5 linked regions of the Xenopus tropicalis genome follow. The protein of the gene in region 3 interacts with the protein of the main gene of each other region in a pairwise test. Links are inferred from orthologs where the notes say so. Each region holds a gene or a part of one and is shown on either strand. Other genes may lie near its edges.

Region 1 (4,298 bases), on a different chromosome or scaffold from region 3:
GATGACATTTTATGGTAGTGCCAGGGCCATCAGAGATAAATGACATTGTGTACATCACAGATAATTAGATTCTCATACCACAGATAAACAAATGTCCATTATGCAGAGGGATTATCTGTGCACTGGGAATCTGATTATCTAAAAGATCATAAAAAACATTTTTGTTATTAAAATAATAGGAAAAAAGTATGTTCAGCACAAGTCCTGCTCATTGAAATTGTACTGTAAAGGGTCTTTACCGTCCTTAACAGAAACAACCAATATCATAGTATAATGCATATATCTATTATATAGCAATATGTCCAAGGGCTTGCCAGTTTCTATATGTAAATATGGTACTGCAGGAGCTTTTTACGTATTACTGTTGCATCACAGGGAACCTTCCCTCCTTTTCCGGGCCGAATCACTTCTTTCAGCACCCCTCTGTCTCCAGATACATCTTCCATTTGCTGTGCCAGCTGATGAAATACAGACTACAATGAAAGCACACCGGTCAGTAAAAGATGGTTCTGCTTTACAGAATAACAAATCAGTAACAAGACATACCCCTGAAAACAATAATCTACAGTACATGAACTTTTTATTTAAAAGGTTTAAGGTCAAATCAGATCAATGAATTCCTGCTTTTGCTTCAAAAGCTCTACTCCACTTATATATACGGCTGTGTAACCATGGGTGCAGCCACTGAAGGTGAAATTGGGCTTTAGAGTACAAGAGGTAAACTGTTCAGTACACAATGGTTTTTGGCCTACGGCACACTTGGCGGATTCTCCACTGATGGTTTCCAGATGGTGACAAAGGTGGCCGAGGTGACCAATTTCATTTCATTAAATAACAGACTGAAAAGCCACGATTTTAAACTTCTCTGCTGGTGGATCATACACTCCATGTGCGGCAGGACTTAGGTCTTAGACAGAAAGATATACATCTGTAGGTGCTTGGTGAACAAACAAAAATTAAATGCAATGAAAAAATGGTAAAGTTCACCTTTTTTTGTTTGTTCTCTCTCCAGTTGGATATTAAAGCTGTCACTGGCCAGAGCAGACAGGCATGTGCAAATGTCAGAAAGAATGATAAATAGGAGATTGCCATAAAAATTAGCAAATTAAAAAAAAAAAAATATATCCTCCAGCCCCAATCTGCTTTTTGATTACCAGGCCAGCAACCAGATTGTTATTTGGAAAGGTGCACGGATAACTTCCACTTGCAACATGCTAGAAGAATGGAAATGTTCCCTTTACAATGTAATATCCCATCAGGGGCTGAGACACAGGGAAAAGGAAGGGAATTTTTTACCACTTGTATGAATGAGAAATGAATTTCTGCACAACCCTGTGTGCCATTAGCGTAATGTATAAATATGATGGCCTAAAGATGCAGGTCTTATTGTCAAATATTTGACAAGTCCCTGTTTAAAATGTCAGAGACACTAAAGGTGGCGAAAATTGCCCAGGTGTCAATCGAGCAGGTTTGAATTTTCCTTTGAAACAGGGACTGCATTGGGGTCCTTGCTTCAACGGTCCTATTCCTGTGATTGCAACCTGATCGTTTGTCCCAAGGAGCCTGGCAAACTCACCAAACAAGCGACTCTTGCCAAATATTGTCATCTTAAAAAGCGCGATCAGAAATCAATTTAATAGGCAAATAGGTATAACATTAGATATGCTAGCTGTGCCAACATCACCATTCAGTACTATTTTATTCAGGGCTGTCTGTGTCCAGTGGCTTAATGTGAATTTATATGAAGCATCTTTTGTTCCACAATTCCTCTACAACTCTAAAAGGTATTGCAGAAAATATGAGACACACTTACATACTGCTCCCTATAACAATTATAGGGAAATTCTTGGGCATGGCAAATGGGTGAAAAATGCCTCCAATCCATATTTACATATACTAATTTCATAGACAACACCAGGCTAAAACACCAGCACAATATACAGAAACACTACTTTCTACTGGTTAGCCCAGTACATTATACAATGGCCGCTCTCACTCATGCACATTATGCTTTAACAACTAGTCACAGGCAGCGTACGAGCAACCACAGAACATTATACAGGAATGGGACCTGTTATCCAGAAAGCTTAAACATTAAATAAACCCAACAGGATTGTTCACCTACAATAGGGATCCCAAGTTGGGATCAAGTTCAAGGCACTGTATTATTATTACAGACAAAAAGGATTAAAAAAAAAAAAAAAAAACTTGTTTAAAATGGAATCTATGAAAGATGGTCTTTCCATAATACTGACATTTCTTAATAATGGGCTCTGGATAAGGAACCCCATACTTGCTTTCTCCTAGGCTCCAAGTACATCATAATGTGGGAACCCTAAATGTAGAATTGGGGTGCATCTAATGTGTAATATAATTATATAAAGAGACACACTGGGTAACTAGGGCACTTACTAAAACTTTGATTACATTTACTAATTACACTGGAAGTGGTTTCTGGAAAACTTGTAGATTAATAACTCTGAAAGCCTTTTACTTATTCAAGGGCAAACTTCATTCCTATGTTCAAAATCAAATTTTACATTCTTGTAAATGTACATTCTATAAATTCTTGCAGACATGTTATCCTCAAGTACCAATCACTGACAAACAGGCGCAGGTACTGCCGGCATTAACCTCCTGCACCAGGTGCTAAGTTTCCATTTCCATAAGGAAAGCTGTGTTTATAAATGCGATTGTTCCTAATGGACAAACTTGTTCTGTGCGCTTTCCTAAGCATATATTGTGGGGATTTTACACGGCCACACATCCCCACAGCCCGTGTCCCACACACTCGGTAACACCGCCGCTCTCACCATCATGTTTCTTCCCCCGCGGTCTTTTCTCAGACTTGCTCTTTGGGCGGGCCTGGTCATGTGACAGGCGTCTCACCAATCAACGTGAGCTGTATGTTAGCGGCTCTGAAGGGAGGTCCTACAAAGTGATGATTGGGGGCAGGAGAGCTAGTTGTGGCCGCGCAGTAATAGGATTCCATGGAGAGCCACACTTGGCCTGGAAGATGAAGTTGGTTATGTTTTGAGAAACTGTTAGTAGGTGGAGTGGAAATAGAAAGTACCAGTGAAATGCCATGGATGGGCAAACAGAAAGCCTTTGCCTGTGGGGCATGGGAGATCATTTAGGAAGTAAATCAGTGAAAGTCCAGGCGAAATTGTTGTCCTAAAGTGCTATAAAGCTTGTGCTAAAGTAAACATTTTTTTCTACCCAGGTTAAAATGAAAATAGGCCTTGAAATATCAAGATCACAGGGGTCCAAACAACCCCCCCCCCCCACTGTCTATGGCATCTCACAGCAGCCGCTATGGCGTTTGCAATTGCACTGCTGTAGCATATAATTACAGTACCAACACAAGTAGCAGAGAGACCTGAGTGTACCCCATCAATACAGTGCTCTATTCATAAGGGCAGTCAGTTTGTGTGTAAGCATATTTATATGAAGTGCATATTAATATGAGGATATAAATATACCCTTCAAAGCCCCCACCCCCTTACATCTAGCTAGCAGGTACTTTACCTTGAGCTGGATTTTATTAAAGGAATACTGTCATGGGAAAACATGTTTTTTTTCAAAACACATTAGTTAATAGAGCTTCTCCAGCAGAATCCTGCATTGGAATCCGTTTTTCAAAAACAGATTGTTTATATTTAATTTTGAAATTTCACATGGGGCTAGCCATATTCTTCATTTCCCAGGGTACCACAGCCATGTGACCTGTGCTCTGATAAACTTCAGCCACACTATACTGCTGTGCTGTAAGTTGGAGTGATATCCCCCCCTCCTAGCAGCTGGTCAGCAGAACAATGGGAAGGGAGCAAGATGGCAGCTCCCAGTAGGTATCAGAATAGCACTCAATAGTAAGAAATCCAAGTTCTCCAGTTACATGGGAGTAGGAGAAACAATAGGTTACCTGAAAGCAGTTCTAATGTGTAGCGCTGGCTTCTTCTGAAAGACTCTAGTTGCATGGGAGCAGGAGAAACAATAGGTTATCTGAAAGCAGTTCTAATATGTAGCGCTGGCTCCTTCAGAAAGCTCAGACTCAGGCACAATGCACTGAGATGGCACCTACACACCAATATTACAACTAATTAAATGTTGGTTTAAAAATAAAATTTTAAATGACAGAGTGAATTATTTGCTATGTAAACAGTGTCATTTAAAATAAAAAGTTTACCACAAAAATCATCAAGTTCATGAAGGCTTTAGAGGCATAAGAGGCCATATAGCTTTGTATGTTAATTGTTATAGAGAAGGCGCTACATTTGAATAAGGAAATGGTAAACGCT
Region 2 (4,220 bases), on a different chromosome or scaffold from region 3:
CTGCTCTGGCTGCTTCTAAAGACTTCAGGTGCAACTTCCATGCTGTTTAATAGTGGGGTAAGAAAAAGATTCCAGTGCAAATAACTGACATCAGGTGACTGGGCCATTACTGCACGAATTGGCGTAAAAAATTCCAGATGAGCTGACATTTCTTTTGTTCGTGTATATAGCCCCAAGCCCCTATAGTTTTCATGCAACATCTTTCATACAGTACCAGCACTTTTCCTTTCCCTACAACTTTGCATTCACCATCTTGGATTGCCACCACCAGTGTGACGCCTGTGTAGGTTTAATGCATGAACAGTGCAATTCCTCTGGGAACCATTTACACAATGTACATACTGTATAAACCTACTCCCTGCATAGCAAGGTGACACAGCTTGTATTTACTAACTTCATCCTAGAAAAAAACAACATATAATGTGAATAAGTTGCAGTTTAAATGTCTGCAAATACCTGTCTCTCCTACTTTTATGAATTGGATTCAGCCTTTTACGTGGACAAATATTTACAGGTACAGCGAAGGCTTTCTTGGAACCCATTTCCCTAAAACAACACATATATTGTGGCATAAAGATCCTGGCCATGGTAGGTGCCACAGTAGCTCAATGCCAGTAGTGTAATTACAGGCAACCAAGGACATTTGGAGCTTACATTGCTTTAAATGCTTTAAAGTGCACTTTAACATTTTTCACAATTCTCTTTTCATAAATTTAGTGAAAACATAATCGGTGCTGACATTTTCTCTGGTCCTGCATGCACAACCTTTCCTCCAGCTAGCTGTACAGTTGTCTGGGGCAGAGTAATATATCTGCCATTTAAAGAACAAAAATAAATAGTGCTTAGTGCTTTTTCCCTGCTCTAACATGTATTGGGAGGGCTCTGACGATGTCGGACTGCTTACTGCGCAGTTTCAGCCCTTCTAGCTGGGTGCATGGGCACCTAAACACAAAAGACAAGACATTTAAACGTGCATGTGAAATCTGTCTGCATTCGGCTGCTGTAGACCACCAATAACGTGTTATTACTTTGCTCCCTGGCACAAGAGATAGAACTATTTCCGATCAAACATTGATAACGAAGGCTCTGCTTGCAGAAGACACTGCAGGTAATTACAACAATATTAAAAAATGTTTTTATTTTTGTGTTTCTTGACAAAAGCAGGCGGGGCGTGCAGCTAAAACAAACTGTGAGCAGATATATGGCTGCCCTGGCATACATAACCGCGCGTTACTAGCTGCTGAGGCAGCGTACCAGCAACGTGCTCTACTGTAACACAGAACCACTGAACGTTGTTTAGCACAAGTGACGCTTACGCACTGACGCTCCCATACGCTCCAGTTGTGGCGTCACAGTCTCATCTCGCGAGAGTGTGAGGTATCTCTGGGAGAGCAGGTTTGCCGGAACCGAGGAGCTGGATATTTGAATGGCGTTGTGGGACATTTAGCAGCCATTTAGAAGTGCGTCCTGTGTTAAGAAAAGTGGGCTACGTCGGTATGTGAGTGTATGTTTCCCTTCAGCATTCTTATACCCAGGAAGATTTCTGTATTTTTACAACAGGCCATGGGCAATAAGAATTACTTTCTCTCTAGCTGAAGAGTATTTTAGATGAATATATCAATTGCACTGAATAAAACCATATTAGTTTTGTTAAGAAAACTGCAGTTTAATTTCATTTCTAACGTAACCTTCAGAGGGAGGACACAGTCCTATCTAGTAGGTAAAGCTGGCCGTACATTGAAAGATCCACTCGTTTAGTAAGGTTGCTAAATGAGTGGATCTTTGATATTGTCCACCTTGAGGTTGATCACAGCAAGCCAATGTGGTCAGCAGCAACGAGCCAATGCAGTCATTAACCAGATGAGATTTTTAAACTTGTCCAATCAATATCTGACCAAAAATCAGGTCAGCCTGTTGGCGGGCCCCATAGACTGGTACATAAGTTGCGGCTCAGACTGAAGAAGCTGAATCAGCTAAAATCTGCTCCATATGGCCACCTTTATTAAAATGGTGTGCTACGACATGAGGGCTTGTCCGCAGTATGACGTCTAACAAGCTGCTCTTACACAGGCTTATAATGATGTATGTATATCTTTATTTATAAAGCGCTACTTATGTACGCAGCGCTGTTCAGTAGAATACATTAATACAAACAGGGTGTTAATAAGATAATAATAGATAAATACAAAGTAAAACAATAAATACAGATAAATACAGCTGCAATAAGTTAAGAGTCGAGGACACAAGAGGAAGGAGGTCCCTGCCCCGTAGAGCTTACAATCTATATGGTAGGGTAACTTACAGACACAAATAGGCAAATATAAGTGCTGTAGGTCACTTATAATATATGAGGCACCATACATAGTATAACCAACTTTCTGTTGTTCCACACATTCAGCCCTAAAGCTAATATCACGCTAGGCTGTTTCTCTGCCTGTGCAGAAACACCCAGTCGGAGTGGTTATGATCGGAAATAACTTTCATGCTGTACATCCAATAACTCTTGTTCTCAAGGATAATTAAGAAAGATCCAAATGAGGACAGAAATGTTGGGCATAGGGTTGTAAAGAAATACATTCACACAGGTTTATTTACACATAAGAGAGTGCTGGTCCAGTTATTTCTTTTGTCAGTCAGAAACAAGGTTTAGTACGATATTCAGTGCATGTAAGTTGGGTTTGATGAGGTAAACGATTTTGGCAAAAGCCTTGGATATTGGTCTTCTTGTCAGTGGGCAAGGATAGGAAATTCTGATTGGATGCCTTTGAAGGTAGGTTAATTCTGAATTGTCAGATAGGGATAGATAGTGAATAAAGTACCCCCTATTGTAAAATATAGGGGTATTATATGTCACCAAAGAGTTCCATGACAATATAAAAGCACAAGGTCAAAGCCGAGTGCTTTTATACAGGTCATGGAACGCTGAGGTGACTTCTAATATCCTCATATTTTACAAGAGGGGGTACTGTATTATAATATACAAGTTTTAGTGAGTCATGTGCCAGAAATTACATCACTTAGCTCTGATTATAACTGATGACATCACTAAGCACCATTTATATGGATATAATTTACAGTTTGGTCCCATAGGGAACTGACCAAACTGTATATTATAATTCTATTGTTTCTACCTGCATATCTGACAATTCAGCTCTTAATGTTAGTGGAGTGGACTAACGATCTTTCCAGCAACCACTGGTAGCAGGAAAGATTGTTATTGTAACGTGTATGGCCACCTTAAGTCACAGTTTATTTAAAGGAGAAGGAAAGGCTAAAAAAAGCTGCAGGCATACCTTCAGTTCTCTCAATAGTGCCCTTAAGTCTTCCCATATTTCTCCTGTTCAGATGATCAGAAGCTTCATAGGGAAAAAAAAAAATTCTGAGCTCTGTAAACAAAATTCCCATAATGCCTCGCTCCTGCACCAAGACCAGCGTACATGCTCAGTGTGTAAGACTATGAGGAAGCTTCCTGCTGATTGTCTCAGATCACACATTCTTGTGGGTGGGGGGAGCAGGAGAGAGCTGCGTGTCTCTAGCACAGGAAAACAAAGAGACAACAAATCCTGTTTCTTTTGACAGAGAACTCAGTGCAGATGTTTCTGTGAGTGCTTATGGCTGTATTTACATAGACCTTTCTGATAAAGCTTACTTAGTTTTTACCTTTCCTTCTCCTTTAAAGACACATCTTAAATTTTCTCTTTTAATAGCAATACCTTATGCAAGTCAGCAAAGTTACTTTTTATTGTGAAAATCGAACTAAGAATGGGTAGTTTTAATCTGATTCTTACTTGTGTGTGCCTTGTCCCTCAAACCCAAATGCCCTATATGCAGCCCTTAAGTTTTCATTGTGTTGCATGTTTGAGCATTCAAGGTTGCAGGTTGATAAACTCCGATATTAATGAATTCTGTTGTGCTGCAAATGTTATGCAGCGTTTTAACATAAGGTATGCTAGAAGCATATAGTAAAGTATTACAAAATGATCATGGGCTGTCTTTTAAGTGATCTAATTTAATTATATTAATTTAATTAGGCCTTCAGAAATCACATAAAAATTGTTACATTTAATATATTTTAACATATTTATATATTCTTCTTTGGCAGAAAAAAATGAATCATCTTCAGCTTATTACTTTTACAAAAGCCCGGGACAAATCGGATTTTTGGGAGAATGGAGAGTGCAGTAATAAAAAAGATCTCAATGCATCCAATAAAAATATAA
Region 3 (3,500 bases):
ATGTGGACTCTCTGTTCTGTATAACATAGTTCTCTCACGGGCCAGTTATTTTTAAAGGGAAACTACACTACTACAATGTTGCTTGCACCATCAGAGGAAAGTTCATCTGCAGCTTTTTTTGTAGTCATCAGGGCAGATGTTCCCAGGTATAGTGCTTTGCACACAAATCAACAAGGAATGACGCAATAGTCCTGCCACCACGTGCTGCCCGCTGAAAGTGCATCGGGCGATTCCCGAGGTGTTAAACCCGGTAGTCTCTCTTGCTGACCTTTGGGTGGAGCTGTCGGGCAGTAAAGCTTAAGTCTCATCAGAACTTAGCTACTCATCTGCTGTATCTGCTGCAGGTACAAAAGCTGGGCCCAGTTACCAAATTACCCAGCCATCTTTCATTTAATTGCAGTTAGAGGCATTCAACCTATGGCTAATAGTGATAAGGCGCCTAATGATTTGTTTAAGCATTTTCTTACTTGAGTTGTTAGTAAAGTTTATTCTGGGGAAAAGCTAAAACTACTTTCTTTCTGATGGTATTTTGGACATAATGTCACCCTAACCTACATCTGGAGAATCCTTATTGTCTGCATAGTCCCATCAGCAACATGTTCTATATATAGGTCAGGCTGCCTTATTTACAACTATATGTGTTTCCAAAGAGCAGAGATTTCCTTTAGCAGGAAATTCAGTAAACTAAATTTTATAGAATTGAATCTGTAGAACTCTTTTACTTATGCGTTTCCCACAAACCAATGCAATTACTGCCATTTCATTCTTTGTTTTATTGCAAAACCCCAAAGCTCTTTACTGGCACTTCCACTTGTTATGGCCTCTAAGGAGCGCAAATGCATGGACCTAAATAGCTGCTTGATAATCAGTCTTGTCATATAAAAGACACATCGATATCAAAGAAAATATCATGGGGAGGGAGAGCTGAATGGCATATTTCAAGGTTAAAAGAAGGCCTGTTTCACTGTGCACACGTCTATTTAAGGCTGTTTATCTTATTTATACATAAATACAATATGAATATGAGATCTAATTTAATATAAAATGAATGAGATCTAATATCCAGAAACCCATTATCCAGAAAGGACCTAAACAGTACTGCCATCTTCCAATGTTCCATGGAGCAGTTTAAGGGAAATATGCATATATATCCTAATGGTTCCATTTTTTCCTCTGTAATAGGAATGATGGTAACTAAGCTACCATAAAAATATATATTGGTGGCAAAGTAACTCTTTTGGTTTTTTACATTTTTATACTTCTAGATATGGTATCTATTAGCTGGAGTGCTCAGAACCTGGGGTTTCCGGATAAGGGGTTTTATTGAAATTTAGATCAACATACCTTGAGTCTTCTAAAACCATGAAATTAACCCAATAGGATTGTTTTGCCACCAATATGGACCCATGCAGCTTAGTTACCATGAAATGTGAATAAATGTTTACATTGGACTGTATGGGGGACGGCTTTTCTGTAATTCAGGGCTTTCTGGATATTGGGTTGGTTTCTGGATAAGAGATCTCATACCTGTAATGTATAAATATAAAGGACTCTGTCCTATCATTCACCTTAATGTATTTCTGTGAACATATAGTGTCCATCATAATTAGCATTCAAGCGGTTTCTCTCCGTATTTATCCACTGCTTTTGGTCCCCTTAGGACTAGTCTGAACCACATTTTAGGAAATTATAGCCTAATTGATGTTTCTAGTGAATGGATTACCTTAAAAAAGCACCCAGTGCCAGAGGCATTAATACAGTAACATTCATTCACTGTAAGCACTGACACAGTAACACTAAAAAATACGTTTTTGTAATGAAAATATAATGTAGTTTTGCCCTGCACTCGTAACAGTGGTGTGTTTGAAACCCTACTATAGTTTATATGGAGAAAAGGAGATAACCAACAGGCTCTGTAGTATACACTTTAATTATACTACTGTTATCTGCTGTGTATCCTGTATCTGAATGGCTGCCCCCATTGCTTACACAGCAACTGTGTAGTAATAACACCCCTGTTATACATTATATTAGCATTCCTAGTGCAACCAACTGCTCAATCCAGGACCCACAGTTCTAGTCAGTTGTGTCTGGCATGAACACGTTTTAGGGAGACAGAGCTCAATAATAAAACAGCACCAGAGTATTAAAGTAGAACGTTGGACATTTGCAGCAGGTTCCGATACCGAGAGTAACCAATCAGATTGCTTTCACTGGTGATTAGAAGATGCTGCTTTGGTTGATAACAGGCTACTAAAACTTTTCCCAACTTTGCAGCTATTAACAGTTCCTATGTAATTCTCGTAGGTTTGCCAGAAATCTGGTGAAATATCATTGCTGAAGCAACAGTTGAAGGACTCCCAGGCTGAGCTGGCACAGAAATCTAATGAGATACTGCTGCTTCGGGCTCAGGTGCGAGAGGCTCGATCCGACCTCCAGATCAGTGAAGAGCAGGTACAGGAGCTGCAGGACACGGCGCACACCAAGACACTGGAGCTGGAGGTGTGCGAGAATGAACTCCAACGCAAAAAGAATGAGGCAGAGTTGTTGCGGGAGAAAGCCAGCAAGTTAGACCAGGAAGTAGCCGGCCTAAGGGAAGCAGCAGTAGCCAACCTGCGCCATGGACTATGCCTTTGCCATGAAAAGGAGGACCCTTTCTTATTATATGAAAGTGACGAGGCCAAAGCGCAGCGGCAGAACGCAGACAACCTGCAGGGCTTGCAGCAGTATGTGGAGCGTCTCAGGGAAGCCCTAACAAGCGAACGCAGGAGATATCAGGAGCAAGCTGACAGCTTTGAAGATGAGCGGCGAATATGGCAAGAGGAAAAAGAGAAGGTGATCCGTTATCAAAAACAGCTGCAGCATAACTATATCCAGATGTACCAGCAGAACCGCGAGCTGGAGAGGGACATTAAGCAGCTCTCCTTAGAACTGGAGGCAAGAGAACTGGACGAGTTTGACTTGCACGGGGCCGAAATCCAGTTTGAGGAAATCACAGCTACAGAAATCTGAAGCCAGTGAATATGCAGAGCTACCACAAATGCCTTTATACACGCCGACAACATTCCAGCCAATGGCTTTGCCAAAACACAGCTACTAAACACTCACACAAGCTCTTCTTCATTGTCACTCAGACTTACAGTGGATAAACCATACTCAGTGTTTTGACAGGGAACCATAGGTTTATGGACTGCACATTAACACTACATGCAACGAGATTTCTAATTGGCAGATCTTGAACACTCATACAAAGTATAGTATTAAGGAGCCATATGTATATATATATATATATACTGTATACCTGCTCACAAGTTATACTATATGGACCAAAGGAACTTGTGTCATTGAATAAGAAATGTATGATACTATGTACAGCACTTATGTATGTGTTTGCATAAAAACCTGCTCCCTTGTCATGGCGTGTAACAGAATTTGAGGTACTGTCATGGAGCACAAAGGTGCCATTATGTTAAGTCTGTTCAGTACTTTTCAGTATTCCT
Region 4 (4,063 bases), about 73 Mb from region 3:
TAGCTAACAGACTCCTGCCTCACTAATATGGCAGCCCCCTCAGAGGAACATGGGGGATCAGATAGGTAGAGCATCAAGCCAATACTTTTATAGCAAAATTATAAATAGCATTCAAAGACAATTTTATGATAGACATAAAAAAAGCTTAATTTCTGGTGTCAGTATGTCTTTAAAACTGCCCATGAAGTATGTCATGGACAACTTGAAACCGTACTAGCCACTAGGGGTTAACCTGCTGCACTCCGCAGGTTAACCCCTGCTGTGCTGGCTCAGCCATAACATAAGCAACTTTTCACTTGGTCTTCTGTTGGTCTGTGATGCTACAATCTTATTATTACTTTTTATAACCTTTTTTTTTCTATTTAATCCCTCTCCTACTCATATATCAGGCTCTCATTTAAACCACTCCCTGATTGCTAAGGTAATTTGGACCCTAGCAACCAGATAGCTGTTATAACTCCAAACCCGAGAGTTGCTGAAAAATCATTGAAATTATTAAAAAAACTACAAACAAAAAAATGAAGACCAACTGCAAATTGTCTCAGAATATTACTCTCTACATCATACTAGGGGGCCGATTCATTAAAACACAAGTTCAAATCCCGAATGGGAAAAATTCGGATTGGATACGATAATTTCTGAAGATTGCAAATATCACGAAAATGCTTGCGAAAAAATCGTATTAGTCACGATAATATCGTATTGGTGATCCGAAAGTCACGAAATTTTCTTACCGAACGATTGTAAACAGCGGCAGAACCTTTCCGAATTTTTCGCGCAAGTGTACAAAAAAGTCACGTAAGCGCGAAAAAATCGGCGAAAATGCGCTCGGAGCGATCGTTCGTGTCTTTTTAAATCTCCCCCTAAGAGTTAATTCAAGGTGAAAAAACTCATTTAGAAAATTTGTTGTAGGTCAAATATTGGAAGCAGAGGTTATAGTGGCAGCAAGTACTCTTAGTTTACAAGAAAACATTATTGCTCCATAGCACAAATGGGAGTTCTAAGAAGGGGGGGGGAAGGCATACTTTTTTTCAACAACTTGGTAATGCTGGCAGCTATTGACACAAGCAAGAACAGTGAGCACAGAACAAAATAAATGGTGGGAAACCATGTGTTACTATCAGCGTGTTTCAGTGTAATAACTATATGCACTGCTGCTCAAACAACGTTCTACTCGCTACTCCACCTAGTGGCAGCAGCCCTACCTTGCGTTTATATAGTGTCTGGCCGTGACGTCACAGTCTCATCTCGCGAGAGCGTGACGGAAGTCTCGGAAAGTAGGCCGACAGGAGCCCAGGAGCTAGGCATCGAAACGGCGATGCGGGATATTTAAACGGCGATGGGGGACATTTAAGAAGCGATCCGGGACTGCGGGCTGTGTTATGAAAGTCGGGGCTGTCTCGCCAAAAGCGGGACAGTTGGGAGGTAGATGCAGTTTAGTTAGAGGTTGAGTCTTACACCTTATATTCTTTGCTGTCTCTACCCTTTATATAACGTTAGAAACTCCAAGGTAAATGTGATTTGAGTTGGATGAAGTGATGTGGGCAGAAGTCATGTGAGATAATCCCTTGCTAAAAAGTCTGCTGTTTCATGTGCAAAGATAAATCCGCTCTCCCTAAAAAGCAACTTTGTAGCATTGTATCGAATTCCAAGCAAATCGCAGCTGGTATATGTCTTATTAGAATTATTAGCCTAGCAACCAGGGAGTAGTTTGTAAAGCAGAATGGGATATAAGCAGTGGATGACCCGAAAACAAAAAAACATATGAAAATGCAAGGGAAGCATTACAGTCACCCTGTTGTTTTGGTTGCTCCCACCCTACCAGCTGTTTGTGCCAATGCCACCCTGTGCCAGCAGCTTGACCCATTCTTGTTGGAAGGGGGGAGCAGGCAGGCCCGGACTGGCAATCTGTGGGTTCTGGCAAATGCCAGAGAGGCTGCTGTAAGATGCCATAGACACTCACTATTTATTGGGCTGGTGGTGGAGGGGTCATTTTGGGCCTCTGTGTACAGGTATGGGATCCCTTATCTGCAAACCCCTTATCCAGAAAGTTCTGAATTATGGAATGGCCATCTCCCATAGACTCCATTATAAGCCTATAATTCTAATTTTTAAAAAAGATTTCCTTGTTCTCTGTAATAATAAAACAGTAGCTTGTACTTGATCCCAACTAAGACATAATTACTCCTTATTGGGGGCAGAACAATATTTAAAAGATTTTTAACAGACTTAAGTTATGGAGAATTACGGAAAGATCCCTTATCCAGAAAACCCCAGGTCTCGAGCATTCTGGAAAACAGGTCCCATACCTGTACTTGATGTGCCCGAGCCTATTCTGAGTTTCACTACGGAGCTAGGTGCAGCTTCATATTTCCGGTGGCATTTCATTTGTTGCATTCATGAAAATGCATTTTCACATTAAAAGTAATGTTTAGTAAGTTCAGGATGATGAAAATATAAGGTGGCTGTCCAGCTGAAGGCTGCATACTGTACGGGGCACTCCCAGGAAAGGGCTGGATTGATTTATCATTTTGCTGTGTTCTTGTTCCACTACATCCATGTCCTAACTTATTTCTATAAAATCAGCATCAGGAGTCTTAGGGCTCTGGAACACGGGGAGATTAGTCGCCCGCGGCAAAACTCCCTGTTCGCGGGCGACTAATCTCCCCGTGTGCCAGAGCCCTTACAGTAAACATGGATGGGTAACAGCATAAACAGCAGGGTTAGAGGGCCCTGCTAACGAGAGCTGTTATGAGAGAATTTGCAGTTGGACTGCCTTACTTAACATTCATTATTTCTTATTGATTTAATATTTTGCTATACAGCTCACCAGTATTTAAACTATTATCTGTTCACACTGACTGAGTGACTAAAAGATGAATTCACTTTTTGGTTTGACATTTTCTGCTGGACTAGAAACACAAAAAGTGGAATAAGAAAATAAATTGAAATTGTGTAATGAGACCTTTTGCATTATCTCATAATAGCACTCCTGTGTATTAGTCATTGAGGTTTGTTATTTCTTTACTATAATTGTAATTACATAGCACTGACACATTCCTGCAGTGTGTTATAGAGATTATACATCAATCACTTCAGACCCTGCCCCAGTGAAATGTATAATCCAAGGTCCCTATCACATTTGTGCACACAAGGGTCCATTTAATCAAGAACCATGTATGTTTTTGGAATGCTGGGAGGAAACCCACACTAACACAGGAAGAATATAGAGTCTTTGCAGATAGTGCCCTGGCTTGGATCCAGCTTAGTACTGCAAGGCAGAATTCATATCCATGCTGTCCTGTTTGCTGAACTACTCTGATGTTTTTTAAAGGAGAAGGAAAGTTATTTTGGCATTTTACTGCCAATAGATTTGCCACAAAAGTGCCACCTAGAATGCTATATTTATTCTGTAGACAGCTTTATCATACCTGAGTAAAGAACCCTAGAAGCTTAAGGGTGGGGGGAGTGAGTTTTTTGAATTCTTAAGGGAGAGAGGAGAGAGCTGCACAGACTCTGGCCCCAGGAATGAAGGATTTTTCTTAAAGAAGGGAGTCAAATACCCTGAGAACATGTTTACAAAAAAGGAGACAACAAATCCTGTGTTTCTTTTAATAGATGACTCAGTGCAGCGTTTCTGTGAGTGCTTATGGCTGTATTTACTTTACCTTTCTGCTAATGCTTACCTTTCCTTCTCCTTTAATAGTCGCTTCTTGAGTGGAATTTTCAACTGCAAGCAAAATCTAACTATGGTGATTTTGTTTAGATTTATTTGCCTTATTTTTTGTTTTAGATAAGATTCTTATTTGAAAACTACGAAATGGTGCGATCATGTTCTGCTGCTGACTGCGTCAACCGTCAGACGGCACTAAGCAAGCGCAAGGGTATAACTTTCCATCGGTATGTATGTAACAACCTCACTGCCCTCACCGTGAGAAACCACCTACGCTGCTTCAAATGGAAGCTCCGTTCCTCTAATCTAAAGGGGTGGCCTCTGGTGCGCTGATTGTTTTTATGGGAAAAAAGAACATCCCCCATCTGCCTATAATCCCCTCTAATGTAC
Region 5 (4,213 bases), on a different chromosome or scaffold from region 3:
ACGGAGACCAAGCTAAAATGGCAGCTGCTATCTTAAACAAAAGGCTTTTTACTCAGGTAGGTAAAGCTTTCTGCAGAATAATTTGGCGACTCTATTGGCAGTAAAATGCCAAAATGACTTTCCTTCTACTTTTAAGTTCTTTAAACGTCGTTTTGCTGCCCCTGGTAAACTTGAGGGCTGCTGCTGCCTGAGACGAGTTTCTCAATTCGCCTTATGGCCGCAGTGCCCCTGTATAATAAAATATGTTTTATGGTTGGACAGCTTTAGTCCACAATAACTATAATGACTATTATGTAGCTTGGCACCCCAAAAGCGACTATACATTTATAAAAGATTTCTAATAAGTACCATTTGTGAAAATAATTATAATATGGAGAATTGTTCATCTAATGAAAATACTAGCATAGATTAGGGGGCACATTTACTAACCCACGAACGGGCCGAATGCGTCCGATTGCGTTTTTTTCGTAATAATCGGTAATTTTGCGTTTTCTTTGCGATTTTTTCGGCGTCTTTACGATTTTTGCGTAAAAACGCTAGTTTTTCGTAGCCATTACGAAAGTTGCGCAAAGTCGCGATTTTTTTCGTAGCGTTAAAACTTGCGCGAAACGTCGCGCCTTTTAAGTTTTAACGCTACGAAAAAGGTGCGACTTTGCGCGCAAGTGTTAACGCTACGAAAAAATCGCGACTTTGCGCAACTTTCGTAATGGCTACGAAAAACTCGCGTTTTTCCGCAAAAATCGTAAAGACGCCGAAAAAATCGCAAAAAATACGAAAAAATCGCAAAAAATACGAAAAAAACACAAAATTACCAAAAAAGTCGCAAAATGTTCGTTTCCAATCGGAATTTTTCCAATTCGGATTCGAAATCGTGTCTTAGTAAATCAGCCCCTAGGTGTATACACAAACTTTATAAATATTGTGATGTCAACAGCTTGTGCACTGCTTCTTTTTCTTTTTTTGATGAACATCTTAATATCTACATTAATTTCAGGTAGCTAAAATATGAAAGTGTGTATCAGTGGCTTTTCGAGACAAGGCTCTGATGGCAGCAGGTACTGTTGGCAACAAGGACAAAGTCTTTCTTTCGTTCCCTGTCACAATTCAGAACTCCGACTAGAAAATATGAATGACTTCTGAGGAAACATCGGGGGCAGAGGCGGCAGCGAGCATGGCGGTCACCCAACACCAAAGAAAAGTCTTTTTTCTTTTGTTCTCTATCAAAAGTAGGAGGTGCGAGCATTGGAAAAAGAGATTGGGAGCTGACCAACCGCGGCTGCCTAGCAGCTTCCCACCGTGTAACACTGAGCCAGGCCGGCTCGTCACTCCCACAAGGCGGCGCGCCAATGTGTCAGTGCGTTACGTGTAGCGGCGATGCCAGTCTCGCGTGAGGAGAGATGTGGCGCTGGGAGTGTGTGTAGGACCGGAGCCTGCAGTAACAAGCTCTTCGGGAGATGTAAGTAGCGATACGGGACTAAGGGCTGTGTGAGGAACAGCGGGACTGTTGCAGTATGCACTTACTTCCAGACTTGGGGAGGCAGGGCGGGAGCTGGGGTACCAGCATGTTCTTTCCCATACATAGGTTTCTGTACCAGTGGTTTTGTGACAGAAGCTTTAGTCCCGGTAGAGCTGGATTGGTTAAGCTGGGGGTGAAGTTCAAACTCCCTCCTACCCTATTCAGTTCCCGGGACTAAAACTTCTGTGACAGAACAAGCAGAATACAAGCTGTGTAGGAGAAAGAACATGCTGGCACCCCGCTCCCGCCCTCCCTTCACAAGTGTGCAGCTCATTGACATGAACGGGCTCGGTAATCCTGCAGCGCTGCCGGTTCCCTTTAGGACCCAGAAGTCACCCACCCATTCGCCACCGATGCTGGCCCTTCCTTTGAGGGTCCCCAGGCAGCTGCTTCGCGCACTGAGCTGCTGTTACATGCGAATGATTGTATTCAGTGTGCGGGTCTGTAGCGCTGCATATTGTCTGTGTGAATACATTAGTGCGTGGGGGAAGCCTTTGTGCTATTGCCTTTACTTTCTGGCGTGTAAGTTCTTGCAATAGGGACTCTTTTTTTCAGTGCAGTTGTAAATGAATTCGATCCTCGCACAATAAATGAGTTGAAGGCGGGGATGGGGCGCAGATTTAGCGCACATTGATATTAAAGCTGAGTGGTTGTGATAAGTGCAAAGCAGGGCCAACCTGCAGCCCCACAGTTGTTTCCTATCATGCACCACCTCCAGCATGTGGCAGCTAGGTGTATGTGGGCTGGCATGGGCTGCTGGGAATTAGAGTTCAAAGGCTAAAGAAGGTTGGACATAACTGAGGGCTGCTGAATTTGGGCATTTTAGGTTTTATTGGTGGGGTGAATACCCTTCTATTATCACATATTCTCAGTATTAACACATTTGCTGCTGGATTCCAAGCTGTCTCTGGATGCAATGTCAGCACTAGAACTATTCATCAGAAGTGTTTATTCTGTTGAGCAGCAGCACACAACACTATGGGATTTATTTATATTGCTGTGTACGAGTATGTGGAGTGAAACATTACCGGTGATGTTGCTCATAGCAGCCAATCAGGTGCTTTGGTTTTCTAACTGTTGAAATCTGCTTGCTGATTGGTTGCCTTGGGCAATATCACTACTTTTTACACAGCAAGATAAATATACCCCTATGTGTGATGCCATGTGTTGGCAGGAGTGGTGTAAAGATCTATGTCACTGGACTCCAAGGAGGTGGAAGATGCCTCTCTCAAGGCATGAATCATTCCTCGCATTTGCCCGTCTGACTTAGTCTAGTCTGGGTAAGGTAGATGCAAGTAGGACTACTACCTGCTTGAATGTGTAAGGGTGACAATAAAGCTGGAAATGAATAGGTGTCTGGGTCCACTTTTTAATGGTCTGGGATAGGGTTCTTGGTCTTATTAAAAGCAAAGCTTAAAGCTTCAGTGAACAATGGCATTCTTGATCATTTCTTTCTTTATACTTTGTGGCAACAGTTTAGGCAAGGTCATTTTATGTCTAGTATATTAATACCCATCTTGCACAAATTGGTTTGCTGAGATGCAAGCGAAAAAGATTGATCTCAATCCAACTGATCACCTCTGGGTACAGCCCCCTCCTTGGCTCCTAATAAGTTTACAAATATAAGTACACATGCACTTACTGAAATTCTAGGCATGCCCAATATAGTTGATAAGCATTTACTCTTAAGGGTATGGCCATGCAAGGTGAATTGTTAGCCTGCATATAAAATAAATGCCACCCCTGCCATCTTAGTTACATTACCCAGGTGTCCTGCTTTAGATTTAGACTGAGATGTATATGCAGTAGGGTAAAAATTTCCATTTGTACTCTGCTGAGGTAGAAATACCTGATACTGCAGCCAGTATATAGCATTCCTAACATATTGGCACCATTCAGTGAATCAGGGTTTCCTTATCCAAAATTGACTTTAAGGCTTGGCCCTCCCTTCTAGTACTTCTAGTACTTCCCTGTGAGGCCATACCCACAGTTTGGCAACTACTGTTGCAGGATGTGTATCCACATGCATCTGAAATATTAATGTGCATTGCATTAAACACATAGGGTGTATGTTTGTTTGTTTTTTTCAATATGATTATAAATGCACAATATTTTGTCCATGCTTGTAGTTATGTATGTGTGACAGTAGTATGTATAAGTGATCACTTTATACAACAACTAGGATATTGCCATGCATACATTGTAAAATGTAACTGCAGATGGAGAAAAGGAATGTGTTTCAGGTAGCAGGTAAGCTTTTTTTCTGTTTTTAGTCTCCTGATACAGAGATTCTTTTTCAGTATTCTGTGTTCCACAGTCTCTCCATGTTCACTGGCCATTTGTGGTGTGTTTAGATTCAGTGGGTGGCAGCAGATGTTGAAATATACATAGGCTATAAATGTGCTTTCACAGACTGCATTGCAAACTTTGGTTTACAGCTGATTGAAAACAGAGCAAGGAGCATTAAAAATACAGTGCAATGCAGGTGCTTACGCACAGTCTTGTGAGTATGATGCTGTAGAACAACATGTGTTTATTTTAAGATCACTTTTTATGCAGTTGTTCTATAGATTTTGAACTCAATTGGCATAGCAGATGGCCGATATATTATTATGGTACAGTAGCTTTAAGGGGCATGGATCTCTACACATAAAAAAAAAAAAAAAATACACTACAGGTATTAAACATTATAGGACT

The links. The genes of interacting proteins can lie anywhere in the genome.
Region 1: the proteins of lzts2 (region 3) and fkbp6 interact in binary tests that used the Homo sapiens proteins (3 or more experiments, as listed by UniProt). The two-hybrid records come from large-scale screens. The link is inferred for Xenopus tropicalis from reciprocal best matches to the Homo sapiens genes LZTS2 and FKBP6.
Region 2: the proteins of lzts2 (region 3) and gpank1 interact in binary tests that used the Homo sapiens proteins (3 or more experiments, as listed by UniProt). The two-hybrid records come from large-scale screens. The link is inferred for Xenopus tropicalis from reciprocal best matches to the Homo sapiens genes LZTS2 and GPANK1.
Region 4: the proteins of lzts2 (region 3) and thap7 interact in binary tests that used the Homo sapiens proteins (3 or more experiments, as listed by UniProt). The two-hybrid records come from large-scale screens. The link is inferred for Xenopus tropicalis from reciprocal best matches to the Homo sapiens genes LZTS2 and THAP7.
Region 5: the proteins of lzts2 (region 3) and nck2 interact in binary tests that used the Homo sapiens proteins (3 or more experiments, as listed by UniProt). The two-hybrid records come from large-scale screens. The link is inferred for Xenopus tropicalis from reciprocal best matches to the Homo sapiens genes LZTS2 and NCK2.

What each region holds. Positions count from the first base shown.
Region 1 is NC_030678.2:41,855,481-41,859,778, forward strand, and holds the start of fkbp6 (inactive peptidyl-prolyl cis-trans isomerase FKBP6), read right to left. Parts: upstream 2,801-4,298; 5' UTR 2,713-2,800; intron 474-2,712; coding exon of another isoform or gene 447-473; coding exon 356-446; intron 1-355. UniProt on the Homo sapiens protein: Has an essential role in spermatogenesis. It is required to repress transposable elements and prevent their mobilization, which is essential for the germline integrity.
Region 2 is NC_030684.2:74,607,847-74,612,066, reverse strand, and holds the start of gpank1 (G patch domain and ankyrin repeat-containing protein 1), read left to right. Parts: upstream 1-1,420; 5' UTR 1,421-1,494; exon of another isoform or gene 1,495-1,504; intron 1,505-4,102; 5' UTR 4,103-4,108; coding exon 4,109-4,220.
Region 3 is NC_030683.2:29,793,038-29,796,537, forward strand, and holds part of lzts2 (leucine zipper putative tumor suppressor 2 homolog), read left to right. Parts: intron 1-2,307; coding exon 2,308-3,012; 3' UTR 3,013-3,500. UniProt on the Homo sapiens protein: Negative regulator of katanin-mediated microtubule severing and release from the centrosome. Required for central spindle formation and the completion of cytokinesis.
Region 4 is NC_030683.2:102,966,175-102,970,237, forward strand, and holds the start of thap7 (THAP domain-containing protein 7), read left to right. Parts: upstream 1-1,263; 5' UTR 1,264-1,425; intron 1,426-1,485; exon of another isoform or gene 1,486-1,510; intron 1,511-3,793; 5' UTR 3,794-3,820; coding exon 3,821-3,900; intron 3,901-4,063. UniProt on the Homo sapiens protein: Chromatin-associated, histone tail-binding protein that represses transcription via recruitment of HDAC3 and nuclear hormone receptor corepressors.
Region 5 is NC_030678.2:110,108,230-110,112,442, reverse strand, and holds the start of nck2 (cytoplasmic protein NCK2), read left to right. Parts: upstream 1-1,413; 5' UTR 1,414-1,456; intron 1,457-4,213. UniProt on the Homo sapiens protein: Adapter protein which associates with tyrosine-phosphorylated growth factor receptors or their cellular substrates. Maintains low levels of EIF2S1 phosphorylation by promoting its dephosphorylation by PP1.